Linked DNA regions of Saccharomyces cerevisiae S288C. The protein of the gene in region 4 binds, or shares a complex with, the protein of the main gene of each other region. Each region holds a gene or a part of one and is shown on either strand. Other genes may lie near its edges. A codon is read from its position in the direction of its gene.

The links.
Region 1: PSF3 (region 4) and SLD5 share a complex: the UniProt entries of both Saccharomyces cerevisiae proteins name them as parts of the GINS complex.
Region 2: the proteins of PSF3 (region 4) and PSF1 are in contact, whole or in part, in a cryo-EM structure (PDB 3JC5), measured with the Saccharomyces cerevisiae proteins. Residues at the interface, in NP_014495.2 of Saccharomyces cerevisiae: Tyr3 (codon at 2,863), Tyr4 (codon at 2,866), Asp5 (codon at 2,869), Ile6 (codon at 2,872), Asp7 (codon at 2,875), Val9 (codon at 2,881), Leu10 (codon at 2,884), Asp12 (codon at 2,890), Gly13 (codon at 2,893), Asp23 (codon at 2,923), Ile24 (codon at 2,926), Pro25 (codon at 2,929), Gly26 (codon at 2,932), Gly28 (codon at 2,938), Tyr29 (codon at 2,941), Trp49 (codon at 3,001), Leu50 (codon at 3,004), Ile53 (codon at 3,013), Leu54 (codon at 3,016), Val57 (codon at 3,025), Gly58 (codon at 3,028), Phe71 (codon at 3,067), Glu171 (codon at 3,367), Lys185 (codon at 3,409); in NP_010296.3 of Saccharomyces cerevisiae: Met1 (codon at 3,119), Tyr2 (codon at 3,122), Gly3 (codon at 3,125), Asn7 (codon at 3,137), Val10 (codon at 3,146), Leu11 (codon at 3,149), Ala13 (codon at 3,155), Lys14 (codon at 3,158), Lys17 (codon at 3,167), Arg22 (codon at 3,182), Lys66 (codon at 3,314), Val67 (codon at 3,317), Lys69 (codon at 3,323), Cys70 (codon at 3,326), Gln71 (codon at 3,329), Phe73 (codon at 3,335), Val74 (codon at 3,338), Leu77 (codon at 3,347), Cys78 (codon at 3,350), Arg81 (codon at 3,359), Arg84 (codon at 3,368), Cys85 (codon at 3,371), Leu87 (codon at 3,377), Ala88 (codon at 3,380), Arg91 (codon at 3,389), Leu92 (codon at 3,392).
Region 3: the proteins of PSF3 (region 4) and PSF2 are in contact, whole or in part, in a cryo-EM structure (PDB 3JC5), measured with the Saccharomyces cerevisiae proteins. Residues at the interface, in NP_014495.2 of Saccharomyces cerevisiae: Ile109 (codon at 3,181), Ile112 (codon at 3,190), Met113 (codon at 3,193), Glu117 (codon at 3,205), Lys118 (codon at 3,208), Ala121 (codon at 3,217), Ser125 (codon at 3,229), Leu128 (codon at 3,238), Leu129 (codon at 3,241), Ala132 (codon at 3,250), Gln133 (codon at 3,253), Leu135 (codon at 3,259), Asn136 (codon at 3,262), His137 (codon at 3,265), Ser140 (codon at 3,274), Met172 (codon at 3,370), Ile176 (codon at 3,382), Lys179 (codon at 3,391), Ser180 (codon at 3,394), Ser183 (codon at 3,403), Tyr184 (codon at 3,406), Asp186 (codon at 3,412), Thr187 (codon at 3,415), Trp190 (codon at 3,424), Met191 (codon at 3,427), Phe192 (codon at 3,430), Lys193 (codon at 3,433); in NP_012463.1 of Saccharomyces cerevisiae: Gln9 (codon at 2,568), Ser12 (codon at 2,577), Pro13 (codon at 2,580), Glu14 (codon at 2,583), Gln17 (codon at 2,592), Leu120 (codon at 2,901), Val121 (codon at 2,904), Arg124 (codon at 2,913), Arg149 (codon at 2,988), Gln153 (codon at 3,000), Leu157 (codon at 3,012), Leu160 (codon at 3,021), Lys161 (codon at 3,024), Leu163 (codon at 3,030), Leu176 (codon at 3,069), Asn179 (codon at 3,078), Glu180 (codon at 3,081), Leu181 (codon at 3,084), Pro183 (codon at 3,090), Phe184 (codon at 3,093), Glu187 (codon at 3,102), Ile188 (codon at 3,105), Lys191 (codon at 3,114), Leu192 (codon at 3,117), Glu194 (codon at 3,123), Ile195 (codon at 3,126), Ala198 (codon at 3,135), Ser199 (codon at 3,138).

What each region holds. Positions count from the first base shown.
Region 1 is NC_001136.10:1,428,679-1,433,383, reverse strand, and holds SLD5 (DNA replication protein SLD5), read right to left. Parts: upstream 2,373-4,705; coding exon 1,488-2,372; downstream 1-1,487. Other genes in the region: serine/threonine protein kinase PKH1, read left to right, coding at 1-1,416; PAC11 (dynein intermediate chain), read left to right, coding at 2,595-4,196; 3,4-dihydroxy-2-butanone-4-phosphate synthase RIB3, read left to right, coding at 4,404-4,705. UniProt on the Saccharomyces cerevisiae protein: Required for DNA replication. Functions as part of the GINS complex which plays an essential role in the initiation of DNA replication by binding to DNA replication origins and facilitating the assembly of the DNA replication machinery.
Region 2 is NC_001136.10:470,039-474,833, forward strand, and holds PSF1 (DNA replication protein PSF1), read left to right. Parts: upstream 1-3,118; coding exon 3,119-3,745; downstream 3,746-4,795. Other genes in the region: ATP-binding cassette transporter SNQ2, read left to right, coding at 1-386; 60S ribosomal protein uL4 RPL4B, read left to right, coding at 1,815-2,903; RAD61 (Rad61p), read left to right, coding at 4,008-4,795. UniProt on the Saccharomyces cerevisiae protein: Required for DNA replication. Functions as part of the GINS complex which plays an essential role in the initiation of DNA replication by binding to DNA replication origins and facilitating the assembly of the DNA replication machinery.
Region 3 is NC_001142.9:304,055-308,405, reverse strand, and holds PSF2 (DNA replication protein PSF2), read left to right. Parts: upstream 1-2,543; coding exon 2,544-3,185; downstream 3,186-4,351. Other genes in the region: YJL070C (metallo-dependent hydrolase superfamily protein), read left to right, coding at 1-435; ARG2 (acetyl-CoA:L-glutamate N-acetyltransferase), read right to left, coding at 550-2,274; JEM1 (Jem1p), read right to left, coding at 3,288-4,351. UniProt on the Saccharomyces cerevisiae protein: Functions as part of the GINS complex which plays an essential role in the initiation of DNA replication by binding to DNA replication origins and facilitating the assembly of the DNA replication machinery.
Region 4 is NC_001147.6:46,008-49,948, forward strand, and holds PSF3 (DNA replication protein PSF3), read left to right. Parts: upstream 1-2,856; coding exon 2,857-3,441; downstream 3,442-3,941. Other genes in the region: SPT20 (Spt20p), read right to left, coding at 1-1,567; PEX11 (Pex11p), read right to left, coding at 1,926-2,636; CTR9 (Ctr9p), read right to left, coding at 3,548-3,941. UniProt on the Saccharomyces cerevisiae protein: Functions as part of the GINS complex which plays an essential role in the initiation of DNA replication by binding to DNA replication origins and facilitating the assembly of the DNA replication machinery.

The DNA.
Region 1 (4,705 bases), on a different chromosome or scaffold from region 4:
TCATTTGTTGGTACCGCAGAATATGTTTCTCCTGAGCTACTGAATGATAATTATACAGATTCCCGTTGTGACATTTGGGCATTTGGTTGCATATTGTACCAAATGCTTGCGGGAAAACCGCCTTTTAAAGCTGCCAATGAATATTTGACATTCCAAAAAGTAATGAAGATTCAATATGCGTTTACTGCAGGTTTTCCGCAAATAGTAAAAGATTTAGTTAAAAAACTATTAGTTAGGGATCCAAATGATAGATTGACCATAAAGCAGATCAAAGCACACCTCTTTTTCCATGAAGTCAACTTTGAAGATGGTTCTGTTTGGGATGATAATCCACCGGAGATACAGCCATATAAAATAAATGCAGAGGCGATGAAGCCCCTGCAAAAGGTTTCTGAATCTGATACCACTGTCAAAATGGCCAACCTTCAGCTGGCTGGTAATGGACATGCAGATACTCCCCTGCAAGCACCAGCAGCGACCTCTCAAGAGCATTCTGTGATCAGTATGACTGCAGCAACCGCCGCATTCAATAAAGATTATACAAGTCAACCCAAATTGGGGAGCAAGTCAAGCACATCTGTTAGATCTGCCTCCAACAACACAGATCGCGAGGTAATTCAAAAGAAGGTTTCAAAAAATCGCGCATCTGTATCATCTCCTTCAATTTCTACTACATCACGGGGGAAAGATAATAGAAGTCGCTCTTCTGACGCCTTCTGGTCACGCTACTTGCAAAATATGGATGAACGTGTCTTGTTGATGAAGGAGGTAGCGCTTTCCACACGAAACTTAGAGGACTCACCTGTAGGTCTTGAGAACGTGGCTCTGGACTACAAGAACCCTCTTGATATCGAGCCTCCTACTGATAGTGCAGGCAAATTTTACAAGAAAATGTTTCTAATAACAAACCTAGGCAGAGCACTTGTTTTTGTCAAGAGAAGAAGTCTCAGCATGTGGGAAGAACAGGAATTTGAATTGCAATTCGAACTAGAGTTGAATGACGTTGAGAAGATACGCTTTATAAGTGATCAAGTCCTTGAAATTGACGGTTCCAGGACGATTTTCATAGGATGCAAAGAGAGAGCAGTTTTAATGAAACTATGGAAATTAATACATAATGGAATGACCGCCAAACCTAAAGTAGTATCGCCGAAGTCGGACCATAAAATGTTTGATAAGTTCATTCTTCAAAAAAGACAGAATACAAAAAAAAAGAATCAAGCTCCTCCCGTACCTCAATCGAATAGGCTAATAAATGGTTTACCGGACCGTTGCATCTTAAAGACACCCGAAGAAGGCGCACTTCACACAAAACGTCCCACTTCGTTGCAGACCCGATCGTCATCTAATTACTCAAAATTGCTGGCAAGATCGACACAAATGCGGAAAAACATGACACGGACAGATGAAAAATGAAACTGTGCTTGATAATATATATATATGCATATGTAAGACATGGTGAAGGGGAAAGTGTAATGCATAATAGTTCAAATAAGAGCAACTTTGTCGTCTCTCAGCAGATCCCTAATGACTTCATATCTCATAACGTAAATACTTCCAATAGTGAGTTCAACCTCTTCCTTTAAATCGGGTATTGTGACCGTGTAGCAAGGTTTACCGAACTCGTTTTCCTGCAATAGCGGATCTTCGTTCCATTTACCATCTGGTGGGCCGTTAACGTGTATAAAGACAAATTTGTTCCAGTCGGGCTCATCTATCATGTTTACGCTACCTTCTGTATCATTAATAGCCTGAAGTTCTTCGGGCATGTATTTCAGGATAGAATCATTGACTAGTTTCAACCAGATCAGGGAATGCGTGTCATGGTATTTGATTTCATCTTTGGATAGTAAATCTGTAAGAGAGATCAGCGAATTTTCATCTTCATTTAATTGGCGCAAATAAAGTGAGAATTTGTCAATTTTGCTTAGCCTACATCGTATGTAGCTTCTAATAACAAATTTCAATCTTTCTAACTCAGTTTCCATGCAGAGTAAAGGCAATTTAGATTCGTTAGGCATAGGCGGGTTCGCATTAGAAGCATTTTGCATATCGAGGAATCCCATTGAAATGTTTTCAATTAATTGAGATTGCATGGATATTCGATTCAATAATCTTTTCATCAACTGATGAGGATATGGTAAGAGTTCTGGCGAACACCGTTCATTTTTCCAAGACTTCATCAAGTCAGAAAAATCCTGCTGGGGAGAGACATATATCTGAGTCTTGTCATTCAAGTCTAAGGACGAACCCACTATTGTATTTGCATCTCTGTGGGTAGTGGAAGAAGAACCTTGCGTGATCTTGGTAGAGTCGACAGCAGTAGTTTCCTTATCCAGTTCTGCAAGAATATCGTCTATGTTAATGTCCATCACCGAGTCAGGTATCTTATTCTCCTTCCCAATACTAACAAATTTGGTTTTTCTTACCTATGGCTCAAATATAATGCTATTGAAATTTTCAGTACTAGTCCAAGGCGAAAAGAAAAAGAAATGAACTAGTTTTCGTGTTTTGCCGTAAACAAAGAGAAAAGGGAAAAAAGAGCATCACAGTTGGTTAATCAACCAAAGAGGAAGAAGGATTGAAACATTAAGATGGAGCGATTGAAGCAACTGGAGGAAAAAAGGAGACAATTGAAAGAGCTGCGTGAGAGGCGAAAACAAGCCAGCTTGTTCCCTGGGAGCGAGACGATGGGCCACCATCCCACAGAGGTGCACGCTAAGGCAACCATGGTCAGCGTTTCAGTGCAGACCGACATGGAGGAAGGCTCAAAGATTCAAGAGCCCCAATCTGCATATCTTCGACGTAAGGAGGTTATAACATACGACAAAGGCATTCAAACAGATCAAATTGAGGAAGAACAACTGCAAGAAAATGAAAATCACACCACTACTGATGCTGTCGCCATTGAAACTACTGCTGCCGACGAAAATAATAAAGACAAAGCTGAAAACGACCAGCCAAGGTTAGAACTAGCCAAACCTTTTCTTGTTGAAGAGGCGGCGGCAACGCTGAGCAACGCTAGTTTTGCGCGGCTGGAGACAGAGGTTTCTGCGTCAGGCCAGCAGGCGCCATCGAACATGCAACAGGATAAAGACAACCTCATGCAATGGAACATGGTCAGTGAGAATTTACAATCAGAGACAGACTGCGATTGTATCGCTCAGGAGTATGACCCAGGAAAAGGCGTCTTGGTTGTGGTTTATCTACGATTGCCGCCGGCAGACCTACAGTATGCTAGCAGCGAAGCGGCGTGGTCTGTGGTGAATGTAGTCAAGTGCGATAATGCCAGCGGACGCAACGGCCTCTTGATAGATATGGTAGAGTTCCGTGGTACGCGGATCATGACAGCCACGATCCTCCGTCGGTATCATCCGGAAAGCAATGTAATATCAATCTTGTTGGCGACCTTGACGGGCAAGATCATATTGTACGAGCTTAGATTGAAACAGAAAAAGCCAGAAACACCGGTAGTGTATGTCGTGCAGCGAAATATGGTGGCAAGACACTACTTTCAGCACCCAGTGGTGGCTGTAATTGAAACAAGCAGCGTGCAAGATCAAGAGAGAGTACTTGTGGCAGCTGATAATGGCAATATTATGGAGTTGAGCTGCCTGGACTTGACTGTTTTGCGGAAGCCACAGCAGCTCCGTCCTGTACCGCTATCACAGCTTTTATCTTTGGAGAATGATACTTGCACATATACGGAGCGATTGCAGCGGTTGGCAAAGTTTGATGAGGTAGGTATAGCTTGCATGGCGTACACGAGTGAGGACCCGCAGTACGTCTGGATCGGTGGCGAAGACGGTGGTATATACAAGGTTTTCTGGGACCAACCTGGGCCGCTGTACCTCTCTTTGGACAACAATGGGTTCCAACCTGCAGAAAACCACTCTACGAGGGTAACCGGGTTAGAGTTTCATTGGGACGATGCTCGGCGGCTAATGCTTCTATTATCATGTTCCACGGACTGGACGGTGCGGCTGTGGGACGCGCGAGCAGGGAAAGCTATCATAGGGGCGCCATTGTTGTTAGGGGGGCCCGTACTACGTGCACGCTGGCTCGAAAAAAACAATGGAGGGGAAAATAGTCGCACTCTACGGTGTCAAGTGTGGTGTGCAGATGGTCGCCTCGTTGTTGTAAATTGGGCTTTCGATGCTAAGACGTCCCTCTACACGGCCACTGTTATCTCCTAACGCCGCTTCGAGGCGGGTGAGCATAGGTTATTGCCTGATGAGTAATTTCTTAGCGAGAATTGATAAAAAAAAGCAAGGCTATTATTAATATACGTGCTATTGTGAAATTTTCATTGGCGTATATATGTGAGGTGAATGTAAATATCTCCAACAAAAAGCAGAAGGCTAAAAAAAAGGAAAGGAAAAGAAGAAAAGGCAACGTCGAAAATGTTTACACCAATTGATCAAGCTATAGAACACTTCAAGCAGAATAAGTTTGTAATTGTTATGGACGATGCCGGTCGTGAAAATGAAGGTGATCTTATTTGCGCTGCTGAAAATGTCAGCACTGAACAAATGGCCTTTCTTGTACGCCATTCCTCAGGCTACGTCTGTGCACCTATGACGAATGCCATTGCTGATAAGTTGGACCTTCCACTACTGAGAACAGGCATGAAGTTTGAATCCAATGATGACGACAGGCATGGAACTGCATACACAATAACTGTAGATGTAGCCCAAGGCACTAC
Region 2 (4,795 bases), on a different chromosome or scaffold from region 4:
TTCAGAATCTGGTCGGAATTATGCTGCACAAAAAACCAGTCGTATGCAAAAAGAAAGAACTAAACTACTTCAACCCACCAAACGGCTCAACGTGTGGAGAGTACATGAAACCCTTTTTGGAAAAAGCTACTGGTTACATCGAAAATCCTGATGCTACGTCAGATTGTGCATACTGTATTTACGAAGTTGGAGATAATTATTTGACACATATCAGCTCTAAGTATAGCTACTTGTGGAGAAATTTTGGAATATTTTGGATTTACATTTTCTTCAATATCATTGCTATGGTTTGTGTGTATTACCTCTTCCATGTAAGACAATCTTCCTTCCTAAGCCCCGTATCTATACTCAATAAAATTAAAAACATAAGGAAAAAGAAGCAGTAATGTGGGCTTCAGATAACTTAACATTTTGTGCATTCATCTGCCTTTAATTCTTAATTCTCATTTTACACTATAGAAGAAGACACGAGTACATCTCGTTTCACTTTTATACTGACATTCATATAATTAACAATAAGTATAGTTTATAATAGATACAAAAAAAAAGTCTTGTATTACCATGTTAATAGTTACATTGTGTATAACTCTCGTAGTTTTCAAAAGTCAAGTCTTGTTGAGTAAAAAAGTTTATTTTACCCTTGGGTTTCGACTCAAAATATTGGATTACGATCTAAGCAAGGTGTTGCAAGTACAAGCTAAACGAAAAGAATAAGACAAAAAAACTGAGGCTCCTCAAACTGGTCACCAAAATTGAACTTCAAATTTAGTGTTTCTACATTTTTTCTATTTTGTTTCATTTTTATATCCCTTTCATATGATTAACAAAACTTGGTAAATTATCTGGCCTGTCAACCCTTACCTGTCCTGTCCCTTCTTTAGACAAAAGAAAATAAAAAAATTGGACACAGGAAAACAACAGCCTCCATACCACAGTTTCTGTGTCTTATTCTATTTAGGAAGGTCATTCTATATTACTCAAAGGAAAGACATCCAGTAGAAACAATAGTGTTGCTAAACGGTTAACTTGCCCACTAATGTCTGCTTATATTTGCAAATCACTATTGTGGCAAGTCATACCCTGGAGCTTTGTGATTGAACAACATATACTATATTGCAGCAGTATTTTTCAGAAATAATATTCGAAAGAAGTGAGAACAAGAAATGACCACGATAGATTACAGCTGACCAACTTAGAAAATGAGTAAACTTATTTTTGTCTTAAGAAGTGCATGCAGCGACCTCTCCCAATTACCAAATTGTAATTTTTTATTATTCTTTTTTTCTGCATAGTTCATTCGACAGCTTGGTTGAAAAGAGTGATAAAAATTTTCTGTTTTATGAAAAGTTTTCATAACTCTATTAAGGGTTGCACTATAAGAACATTTCGCAATAAAGCAACCCTTATCCGGACCCTACATGTTCCGTAAGTCCTGCCTTATTTATCGTAACGGTATTCATCTTACAGGAATTTTTGAATATAGATAACGTTAGTTTTGATAGATTGGAACAAATGGGAAAATAACAATTTAGAAGCGCTTTCCTCAGCGTATCTGAATTATAAAACAACTGCGCATATTGCTAAGAACTGCACTGAAGGCATGAATTGTCTATTCCGTTAGAAATATAATTATTTACGAAAGCATCGCGCAGACGCAATTTTTTTAACATTTTTTTTTTTTCAAGTACTCTGGAAAAGTTTTCATGAAGATCATGAATACGTTACACTACTATTATTATTGAAAATAATATTTCTTTCCTATCAGCAATCGCTTACATATTCATAGTCATTTACTAGGGTATATACCAATAATAATGTCCCGTCCACAAGTTACTGTTCACTCTTTGACTGGTGAAGCTACTGCCAATGCCTTGCCATTGCCAGCTGTCTTCTCCGCTCCTATCCGTCCTGACATTGTCCACACTGTTTTCACCTCTGTGAACAAGAACAAGAGACAAGCTTACGCTGTTTCTGAAAAGGCTGGTCACCAAACCTCCGCTGAATCCTGGGGTACCGGTCGTGCCGTCGCTCGTATTCCAAGAGTTGGTGGTGGTGGTACCGGTAGATCCGGTCAAGGTGCCTTCGGTAACATGTGTCGTGGTGGTCGTATGTTTGCTCCAACTAAGACCTGGAGAAAGTGGAACGTTAAGGTTAACCACAACGAAAAGCGTTACGCCACTGCTTCTGCTATTGCTGCTACTGCTGTTGCTTCTTTGGTCTTGGCCAGAGGTCACAGAGTCGAAAAGATTCCAGAAATCCCATTGGTTGTCTCCACTGACTTGGAATCTATTCAAAAGACCAAGGAAGCTGTTGCTGCTTTGAAGGCTGTTGGTGCTCACTCCGACTTGTTGAAGGTCTTGAAGTCCAAGAAATTGAGAGCCGGTAAGGGTAAGTACAGAAACAGAAGATGGACTCAAAGAAGAGGTCCATTAGTTGTCTACGCTGAAGACAACGGTATCGTCAAGGCCTTGAGAAACGTTCCAGGTGTTGAAACTGCCAACGTTGCTTCTTTGAACTTGTTGCAATTGGCTCCAGGTGCTCACTTGGGTAGATTCGTTATCTGGACCGAAGCTGCTTTCACCAAGTTGGACCAAGTCTGGGGTTCCGAAACCGTTGCCTCCTCCAAGGTCGGTTACACTTTGCCATCCCACATCATCTCCACTTCTGATGTCACCAGAATTATCAACTCTTCTGAAATCCAATCTGCTATCAGACCAGCTGGCCAAGCTACTCAAAAGCGTACTCACGTTTTGAAGAAGAACCCATTGAAGAACAAGCAAGTTTTGTTGAGATTGAACCCTTACGCCAAGGTCTTTGCTGCTGAAAAGCTAGGTTCCAAGAAGGCTGAAAAGACTGGTACCAAGCCAGCTGCTGTTTTCGCCGAAACCTTGAAGCATGACTAGAATTTATAGTATAGATCTTTAACTTTAATTTAAATATCTTTGTTACTAGTCTTTAATCAAACCTTTTTGTTTTCTTTAAAGTCGAAACGTCAGATTTGCTCAAAACCTTCTTGTCGTTACAACGCGAAAATTGTAATTTAAAATAACTAACGAAGAAAGCTGAAAAATAGATGTGAGGGAAAATCGTTTATAAACGGCCATGCTCACAGAGAATCATGTATGGAGATTTAGGTAATAAATTAGTATTAGAAGCTAAAAGAACAAAACAGCTGTACGCAAGAAGTAATCAAGATGTTAATTTACCCATGTATCATGAAGATATAATACGAAATATTCTGAAAGAAGTTTCAAATTTACGTAAAAATACGGAATATCTTAAAGAACAGCAGCAACTAGGAATGCTAGATGATAAGGTGGCTAAATGCCAGTATTTCGTTACCTTGTTATGTATGGAAAGGAACAAGAGATGTCTCTTAGCATACCAAAGGTTGAGAACAGACATACTAGATTCTATGGCTTGGAATAATAATGGTCTGGACTTGATGAGTAGCATTACGTTTAGCCAACAAGACACAAATAACCTTTCTCATCAAGAGCAGGAATATTTGAAAGAATACTGCGATTTAATTACTGATTTAAAAAGTGGTGACTTGGTCGATATTGATTTATCCGGCTCTTTAGTGCCTCCGAGCGATGTATTTATTGATGTTAGAGTGCTCAAAGATGCTGGTGAGATTCAAACTGAATACGGCGTGTTTAACCTTATTAAAGACTCCCAGTTTTTCGTAAGGCAGTCTGATGTAGAGCGTTTGATTCAACAAGGTTATTTGCAGAAGATATGATAAAATGCTTTCAAGCTGGTCTTCATGATATATAATCCTTTATAAAGCAAGATACATACCTCCATTCTAATTTACTCCCTTCTATGTTTACTTCAGCCCTTTTTAATAGATTTCGTAAGTTTTGGTTGAGGAGGCTTTCTGAGCTTTACGCGACTTTATTGATGACGAAGCTTCACTTTATTATAATAATGAAAAACTGCGCAGAGAAACTATCGCAAAACGAAACCATCTTCTTACCCTAAAGCATCCTGTTTCTGAAAAAATGAGAGCATATGGAAAGAGGGGCCCAGTTCTCAGAACTCCTTTTAGATCTAATAAAGGCTTGCCATCTTCTTCCGATGTTGAATTTAGTGATGACGATGTAAACTCCGTGATTCCTGATGTAAGTTCTACCATTTCGAGCAGTATTGCAGACCACCCGATAGAGGGATTATTGGACGAGCCTAGAAAGGCTCAGGACAGCTCGTCGTCATTTGATGGTGCAAATGAGAAGCCCTCTTCACAACTGGACTCAAAAAGGAATGACCAAAACGTCAAAATTATCACTAGCAGTGATACCTCAATGGCATTTATGAAAGATGAAAAGTTAAGTGCCTTTAATTTCCTTGATGGTTCAAAGGCATCTAAGAGAAAAAGAAGAAGAACTTACCAAAAGCATGATGCGAACATAACGTCTTCAATTGAACCAGACGTACAAGATGAAGACAGCATTACAATGCACAATGAATTTGAATCAATAAGGAAAATATACAATGACATCAATGAATTCATATTGAAGCTACCGAGAGCTGACGATGATATACTGAATAAAATGCTTGAAAATGAGATGAAGATGGACGACTCTATAGAGAATAATAGCATACGCACATCCAAAGACAAAAAATATGGCAAATTTAGAACAATATTAATAAACAAAAATAAAGAAAATGAAATAATGGGAGAAGAGGTAGATCAGAAAGCTAACACCTTGTCCCTAAATAACGCTGACAACAGTAATGCTGAAAAAGAAGGATTAACTTCAACAAATCACTACAACGAATTAAAAAATAT
Region 3 (4,351 bases), on a different chromosome or scaffold from region 4:
ACTGTGGGCGAACAAAGATCATATGAGACAAATCCTTTCATGAAAATGTTTAAGATGGGACTAAAAATTTCTTTATCATCAAAATCGATTCTTTACAATAGTTCATACACGCTAGAACCTCTCATTGAAGAATACAGTGTAGCAGCAAGTATTTACTTGCTGAACCCAACAGATTTGTGCGAGTTGTCGAGAACAAGTGTGCTATCTAGTGGCTATGAAGGTTGGTACAAGGCTCATTGGATTGGCGTTGGAGTTAAAAAGGCGCCTTACTTTGAGGAGAACGTGGGTGGGATAGATAATTGGTACGATACAGCGAAAGATACCTCGATAAAGCACAACGTTCCGATGATTAGAAGAAGATATAGAAAGGAGACATTGGATCAAGAGTGGAACTTCGTTCGGGATCACTTTGGAGTAATTAACTCCATTTGGTAGGGTAAAGTGAAATATCAACAACTTTGCATAGTAAGATATATATATTTATATAGATACCTTAAAAACTGAAAATGAAAACTTGAAAGTTAAGGAGGAGGAGAATGCGTCTTTGTTTCATGAAATATTTTTTTCATTTTCCCAACTTGGCTTGATGTCCCTGACAGACCTCATGAATTCTCTTAAACGTTTCTTGTCACGTAGTGCCCTCTTAGCGTATTGAGGGTTACCGTAGTAAAATAGTTTAAATTGGCTTTGCTTTTCATCACAGTGTTCGGGGTCTAAGTCAATCGACAAATCTAGCACAGCAACGCTACGTTGAAAATACCACTTGTTCACCACATTGTCTTTTCTGCTTCTCCAAAGTATCTCATTAGGAAATTTTTTGAACATCAAATTGAAGATTATATCAGATATACCCAGCGAGCCTTTCAAGTGTGGTAGAACGGCGAACTTATCGAGATAAACAAAGGAATTTTCCTCCGAGCCTTCATAGGTAAGAATTGCAATGCCTTCATAATCACCTATCACAATAATTGTAGCTATTTTTCCATTAATCCTTTTTATGTAGTCATGCAAATCCAAAGATCTTTTAAAGCTCTGATCGATGATGGATTTAAATTTGTTGATATCTAGTTTTGGACTATTGCTCGAGGGTTTTGCTCCTTTCTCAGGTACGTGAAACTTCTTTGGAAGCCCAATTGAGTTGAATTGAGTCAGCGTCTTATAGTCATAAGTTTTGATATGGACGCCCTTTTTGAGAACAGTTGTCACTAAAACTGCATCTGAGTTAGAAGGAGCTGCATTTACCTGTTGGGAAGGCAATTCATACCATGCGTGATCATCAAACATGTTGGCTGGTGAGTCTATCTCGCCGTCCTTTTTTTTAAACCTTGGTAAAGAAGAAGAAATTAGCGATCGGTCTGTCAATAAATTATATACTAAAGGATTTTTCCTATCTGATGATAGTGCGGCAGCTTTGACAGTTGTAATCAGTCCCGTTGCTGTAGCCGCTAGATTTGATAAAACTTTGTCCATCAATAACAGGTTTTCTAAATGATCATGGTATTCACATTCTAAGGAAGATATCTCATCTTTTTTAACGTACACCTCCATTCTGTGTAACAGGTTTTGGGAGCGTGGCTCTCGTTTGGTTAGAGTGCTTATATTGTGAGATAATGACGAGGACAAATGCTCGAGTTCCTGAGAAAGATTGATGAATACATGAGCGTTATCATTTCTCTCTCCCGAAGGTATACCTCCGGCATTATTTAGAATGAAGAATTTGTCAATGTGTGGAATATTCCCTTGGCACAGGCAATCCATAAATTTTACAACATCCTTTGTCATGAATTCTGAAGCAGTCTCTTCATTATACACATAAGGTTTCACAATTGGTATAAAATTGGAATTTCCAATATCAAAGAAACGACTCTCTTGCGAAAAAACAGAATGATATAACCCAGTGCGGGATTTAGTAAGACCCTCCTTAAGGTGAAGTGGCTTTAAATCTGCTTCTGTAACGATACTGTCAAGTAACTCTGCCTGTATATTTACATGAGTTGGCGACGGCGGAATTACAAACATAGGTCGCAAACCTAGCATTCCTAGTCTCTTTATGACACTTGAAAACTGGGACAAAATCGCTGGTGCGACTTTATGCAGGTCCCTGATAAAAAACAAACAATGATTATGCTGCCCACTATCATTTGTATATTTTGAGAGATAATCCTTAGCCTCTCGTTTTGTAGCGGTTGTATTCAGAACTGAAAGGATCAAGTTTTTTGAAGATGCATTGGGTTGATCATACTTGAGTTCATGCGCGAATATTCTCCTCCACATGATAAAAGTAACCGACTAGTGTCCTAGATTGACGGTCCTAGCTTCAAATGTGTTAACTTTCACAATTTATGTCGAACGTGCTTATGACTCCATGGGAAGATCAGTGATGACTAACCTTTTTTTTCTCCAGCGTGAAATTTCTTGTGATATTTTCCATTTAATGAAAAATCAGTCGCCTAAAGTGTAACTATGAAATGGTTAACAAAAAAGAGTTTTATACTTAGAGAGGATCAACGGCTGATCTGAAATAAGACTAGTTTCATAGACGCATGTCACTACCGGCACATTTGCAGCAGACTTTCTCACCAGAAGAAATACAGTTCATTGTGGAAAACGAGCCAATAAAGATTTTTCCCAGAATAACAACACGCCAAAAAATTCGTGGCGATGATAGAGGAACTGGAAACCACACCCGCTGGCAACTTATTACTACAGATGACAAAGCTTTAAATAATATGGTAGCCATGCGTTCTACAGAAGTGGTTCTTTGGATCGCTCTATTACTGAAGCAACAATCCAAGTGCAGTATTGTAGCACCACAGTGGTTAACGACGAAAGAGCTTGATAGAAAAATACAATATGAGAAAACTCATCCGGATAGGTTTAGTGAGTTGCCGTGGAACTGGCTTGTCTTGGCACGTATACTTTTCAATAAAGCTAAGGATGATTTTCATGACCCCATTCACGAATTACGTGGTAAAATACAAGACTTAAGGGAAATAAGGCAGATCAAAGTGTTAAAAGGCCTTAAGTATTTGAATGAATCTCATTTACAATTGGATAATTTAAGTCTATTAGAAATCAATGAGTTGAGGCCGTTCATTACTGAAATCATGGATAAACTGCGAGAAATTCACACAGCATCTCTTACCGCTGGTACTGAAAATGATGAAGAAGAATTCAATATTTAAAAAAGTGCTGGCTTTGCAATAATTAGAACTTTCAGTGATATGCGTATGTATATATATGTACTTGTTGTGGTATCCTAGTTAATGGGCATAGAATGTATTTCATCAAAGCCCAAAATTCATTTTAAAGCCATTTCCGAATGGGAAGCCACTTCCTGGATTTTTGAACATGTTATTTTGCCTAGGCCCCTGAGGAAAAGTGTTGCGGCGGGGGTTTGATCTGGAAAGATCGTATTCCTTCCTTTTATCGTCATCACTTAATGTTTCGTACGCTTCATTGATTTGTGACATAGTTTCGTGAATTGATTCTTGTTTGTCGTTATGGTTGGCCTTTATTTTGTCTGGGTGGTATTTTTTGGTTAAATTTAAATATGCTTTCCTTATTTCTTTCGAACTAGCACTAGGCGATACTCCAAGAATTTTATAATAGTCCTTTTTTGGGTCGTAGTTAGGCGCTGCTGGGGGTGCTTGATGTCGTTGGTGTTGTTGCTGCTGTTGTTGTTGTTGGAAATATTGCTGGTTGAAATTCCGATGTTTATGCTCTTTATAGGTTTGTAATTGTTTCTGTAATAATCGGAAGTTCTTCATCACGTATGGATTGGTCGACTCTGAGAGGCCGTTATCTTGGAAAAATTTGTTTATCTGGTCATATAATTGCTTTTTGAACTGTGAATGAGGTTTAGACCTACTTTTATTAAGTATTGAGTTTACCATATACATCAGCAAATGAGGATTGGAATTCCATACATCACTCAATACCGTCTCAGGTAAAGGTTTTTGCTCGGACTTAGCATCCTGATAGTGTTTCCATGTTTCTAGTGTTAGTGAATGCCTCAAACTCTTTTTACAGAACGGCGCAGCCAGTTTAGCTCTCTTGACGTCCGGACTCATGCTAGAAGCCTGACAAAGAATGGAATCAATGTATACTAGATAATCGGTATGATAGTATGATTTTGGTTTGACAAAACCATCGGTTATTGGGGGATCTTCGAATAAATTTTTTGCCAAAGGTCTCGACAGTTGAACGTCTTCTATCAATTGTTTGATAATTTCCTCTAAAAAGAAGTAGTTGTTTTTAAAGTTTGTATCTTTGTTAAGAATTTTCATTGGTGTAATAAATGGCTTCTTATCCTTCAAATAAAATTCAATAATTCTATCCCAACTTCTAA
Region 4 (3,941 bases):
GAAGTAGCTGTTGCTGTGGAGTCAATGGTGCTGTCATCGATATTCTAGCGTTGAAGGGGGTTGGATTGATGTTTGCACTTAAAGCCTGCTGTTTTCTTTTTTCTTTATTTATTCTCCATTGTTCAATAAATTTCAGCCTGCTAAATTGATTATTATCGTTACCCATGGTAGATCCCACTGCAGCCGCAGCCGCTGCCGCTGCCAAAGCTACTTGATTGCCATTAGCCAAACTGTTATTCCTTGTATTTGATGCGGAATTCGAAGTTGAGGACGAAGCTCCACGTACCCCGTTGGAACTGGAGCTAGCAATCTCCATCGCATTCTTGGTTAACGAAACAGCAAACGTGGAGTTGGTTATCGTTGTTGTGCGTTCATTCATGATCAACATCAACTGTTCATAATTTGAACTATGTTGCGGAAATTCATCGCGTTCTTCGATATGCCCTACAACGCCCTTCGTGCCTTCTCTCGTAGACTCAGCACGATGTTCGTGAATGAAGGATTTTTTTTCACTATCCCAATGAGGTTCTGAAAAAGCTGTTTCCTCCAACATGTCTCGGTGCTCATATGGATTTAATGGCACACTTAGTGACAAGTTCCTCTTGGTAAGTGTTAAAATTTCAGATTCAAACTGTTGATAAATGCTATCAGAAAACCTGGCATTATCTGCATAAGACATCATGTCATAATACGTCGTCAAATCATTAGGCTTCAACAATGTTCGATATACTCTAGGTCGTTTGAAGGATGCCTTCTTATTTGCTGTGTTTGCGCCTGTATTTGCCACACCACTATTAGGTTCGGATGGTTGTTGAATCTTGGAATTGTCCTGTGTGCTATTATTATTTGAAGGGGAAGAAGAGCTGTTCAAATTAGGCTTGTTCTCTTTGGGGGTGACATCAACTGTATTAGTATGGTCATAAACCTGTAAAATAAGATTTCCTTCGTAAAATTGGATATTACAGTCCCTTAAGACTTCCATAATAGCATCAGGAATCCTTCCTCTTGCGACGTACTCTAAAAATTCTTTCAAAGTTTCGTTATTTTTGGTTAATATTAAACCGTCACTAGTCAGCTCGGGTTGCTTTTGCTGCTGTTGTAACCTGCTATTTGCAGGAGCGCAAATCTTATAATTATTCTCATAAATATGAAATTCAAAACTGTGTAAATATTGCTCATATTTTTTCAAAATTGAGTCTGCATCTTCCACAAAATTGTAAAGTCTTTTAGGTCTTTTGTTTAAGGTCATAAGCATTTGATAAAACTGAGCCTCATAGTTTTGGAGTGCTTGCTGTTTTCTCTGTTGTTCGAGTAGTCTTTGCTGTAGTAATAATCGTTGTCTTTGCTGCAATTGCTGTATTTGCTCCCTGGTTAAAGTCCTAGTACCTTCATTGGCATTACTATTACTGTTTGTCCTCATAACAGGATGATTTACATTTGCTACCGCTGGGTTCATAGGAGGTGGTACATTAACTGGACTGCCTGGCGAACCCATATTGGATGGTGTTGCGTTCACAGGAATACCAAATACATGGGGATCGTTTCCTGTCGGGCTATTGGCACTCATCCCTGAAATATATAGGCGCAAATTAACCGTAACTATTCCTTCCTAATCCTCTTGAAGGCTACTTTTCTCATTCTTTTATCTCTGCTGGTCGATCATCTTAACACTTCTTCATGATTAATGGTCGTCAGGTATCACGAGCGGGTAACAGAACTAAGCAGTTATAGCGATCCCAGTTTTACTTTAAAGATAGTTAGTTAGTTATTAATGGTGCGGATAACAAGAACTATTGTCACTCAGAATCTTATACAGGTATGGACATGGAACATTGGGTCATATACATAAGAAATAAATTATAAAGAAGGGTCGAATCAAACATAAGCGGAGAATAGCCAAATAAAAAAAAAAGATGAAAAGAAAGCTATGTAGCTTTCCACATGTCTTGCATACCAAGGATAGATGTGACAACACCGGATAGCGCAACATACTCTTCGTTGCTAGACAAGTACCCTAGGTTGTTGAGGACGATGAACGAATCTGCAGCATCCCAGAATAGTCTTCTTAACGCGGTGTACCTGTCTTGGTATGCCTTCCCTAGTACCTTCTTGTGATCCTCATGCTCATCGCCTTGGCTTTGTGATTTTGCCTTGACAAACGCAGCAATCTGGGCATGAGATGTTTGGATCTTACGAAGATCCATAGCCAGACCACTTAGGAGGCCGAACAGCCAACACCAATTGGACCAGCGAGGTATTTTCTTACCGGTAAGAACGGTTACAGGAATCACTTTCAAAATTCTCAAAAGATTGACTTGATCTAACGACAAATATGCAGCAAAGAAGATGTTTTTCAAAACATTGCAGACTCTAACGACGTTGTCGCTGGCCAACTTGTTATCGTAGAATTTAGCAGCTGCCTGCAAGTGGTTTAAAGGCTTCAGAAACCTCAGAAATTTTCTGACTGTGGTAAATTGAGCTTGTAATTGCCTGGCCAAGAGAGATGAGTTCTGTACTGCTAAAAATCTTGCTAAATACTGCAGTAATCTGAGAACCTTTTCTCTGCCAGCTGAGCCATCTAGAAATTTGACGAATCTCGTCACGGAGGGATGATATACCAGTGTATCACAGACCATATTGATTATACTATTACTTGATGAAGTCTTTGAAGTAGTAGATGGAGACAACGGTTTTTCAGTTGTTGGAGTCACTTCCCTTTTATATCTATAAATGATATACCCATCGCTTCGGGTTCTCCGAGATAAATGCCGACGCGTAGTGAAAATCGCAATGGAATTGATGCCAACTTTGTTCTTGGTATTATATTTTTACAATAGAAGGGCAAGCATAGAAAGGATGGGTTACTATGACATTGATGATGTCCTAGCAGATGGGACAGAGTTTCCTTGTAAATTTCAATATGATATTCCTGGTCTTGGTTATTTGGAAAACAACCCAGGACGACCCATAACGAAAAACACTAAACTAAGCCTGCCACTATGGTTAGCAAGAATCCTTGCAATTGTGGGTGGTGACGAAGCCTTGGTAGATGAAGAACCTGTACCTTTTGTGGAACTCCTGCCACCAGATATGTTTTCTACGAAAGTTATGAACGCTATAAAGACCGATCCGGTGGCTCTGGACTTGCATTCCATAAATTCGCATTTCTTCAGTCTAGCCATAAAATGGATAATGTTGTTTAGCGAAAAAGAACTGGCCAATGTCGTTAGTGAGCTACTTTTGCAACGTGCCCAAGAACTTAATCATCATGCTAGTAGTTTATCGATTGATCTCAATGCAGACTCGACCGGAAAAAATTCAGCGAACACTAATATAGCAACTAGCACATTTTTACTGAAACTAGAAGAAATGGAGAAGGAGATATATAAAAAGTCTCATGAATCTTATAAGGACACGAAAAGGTGGATGTTTAAAAAATAACACATCTTTTTCTTTAGAAATACACTATATAAAATAACTATAAAAAAAAGGCAACAGTATAATATTAAGTTTCTTTAAAAGTCTTGATTCTAACCCTCGCCTCTTCTTAGAACAATCCGTCGTTATCATCATTATCATTGTTTTCGTCGTTGTCATCGTTTTTATTTTGTTCCGAACCGCTCATTTGAGCTTCTTCCTCATCACTATCTTCAATAAATTCATTCGATAGTTGAGATTTTTTGCCCTTATTGTGAGAAGGCTTTTTCACCACATCATCGTCATCCTCGTCGCTGTCGGAAAGAGTTTTTTTAGCAGCTTTCCTTCTCTTAGATTCACCGCTATTTTTAGTTTTTGTTGACCTCTTTCTTTTTTGTCTTGGCTTTTCTTCGTCATATTCATTGTCTTTATCAGACAGATCTGAATCATCTTTAACATTATGTTCACTTATGGCCATGGCTTCTCGCTCCTGGATTAACTTTTGTGCCTCATCTTGTAGTTTC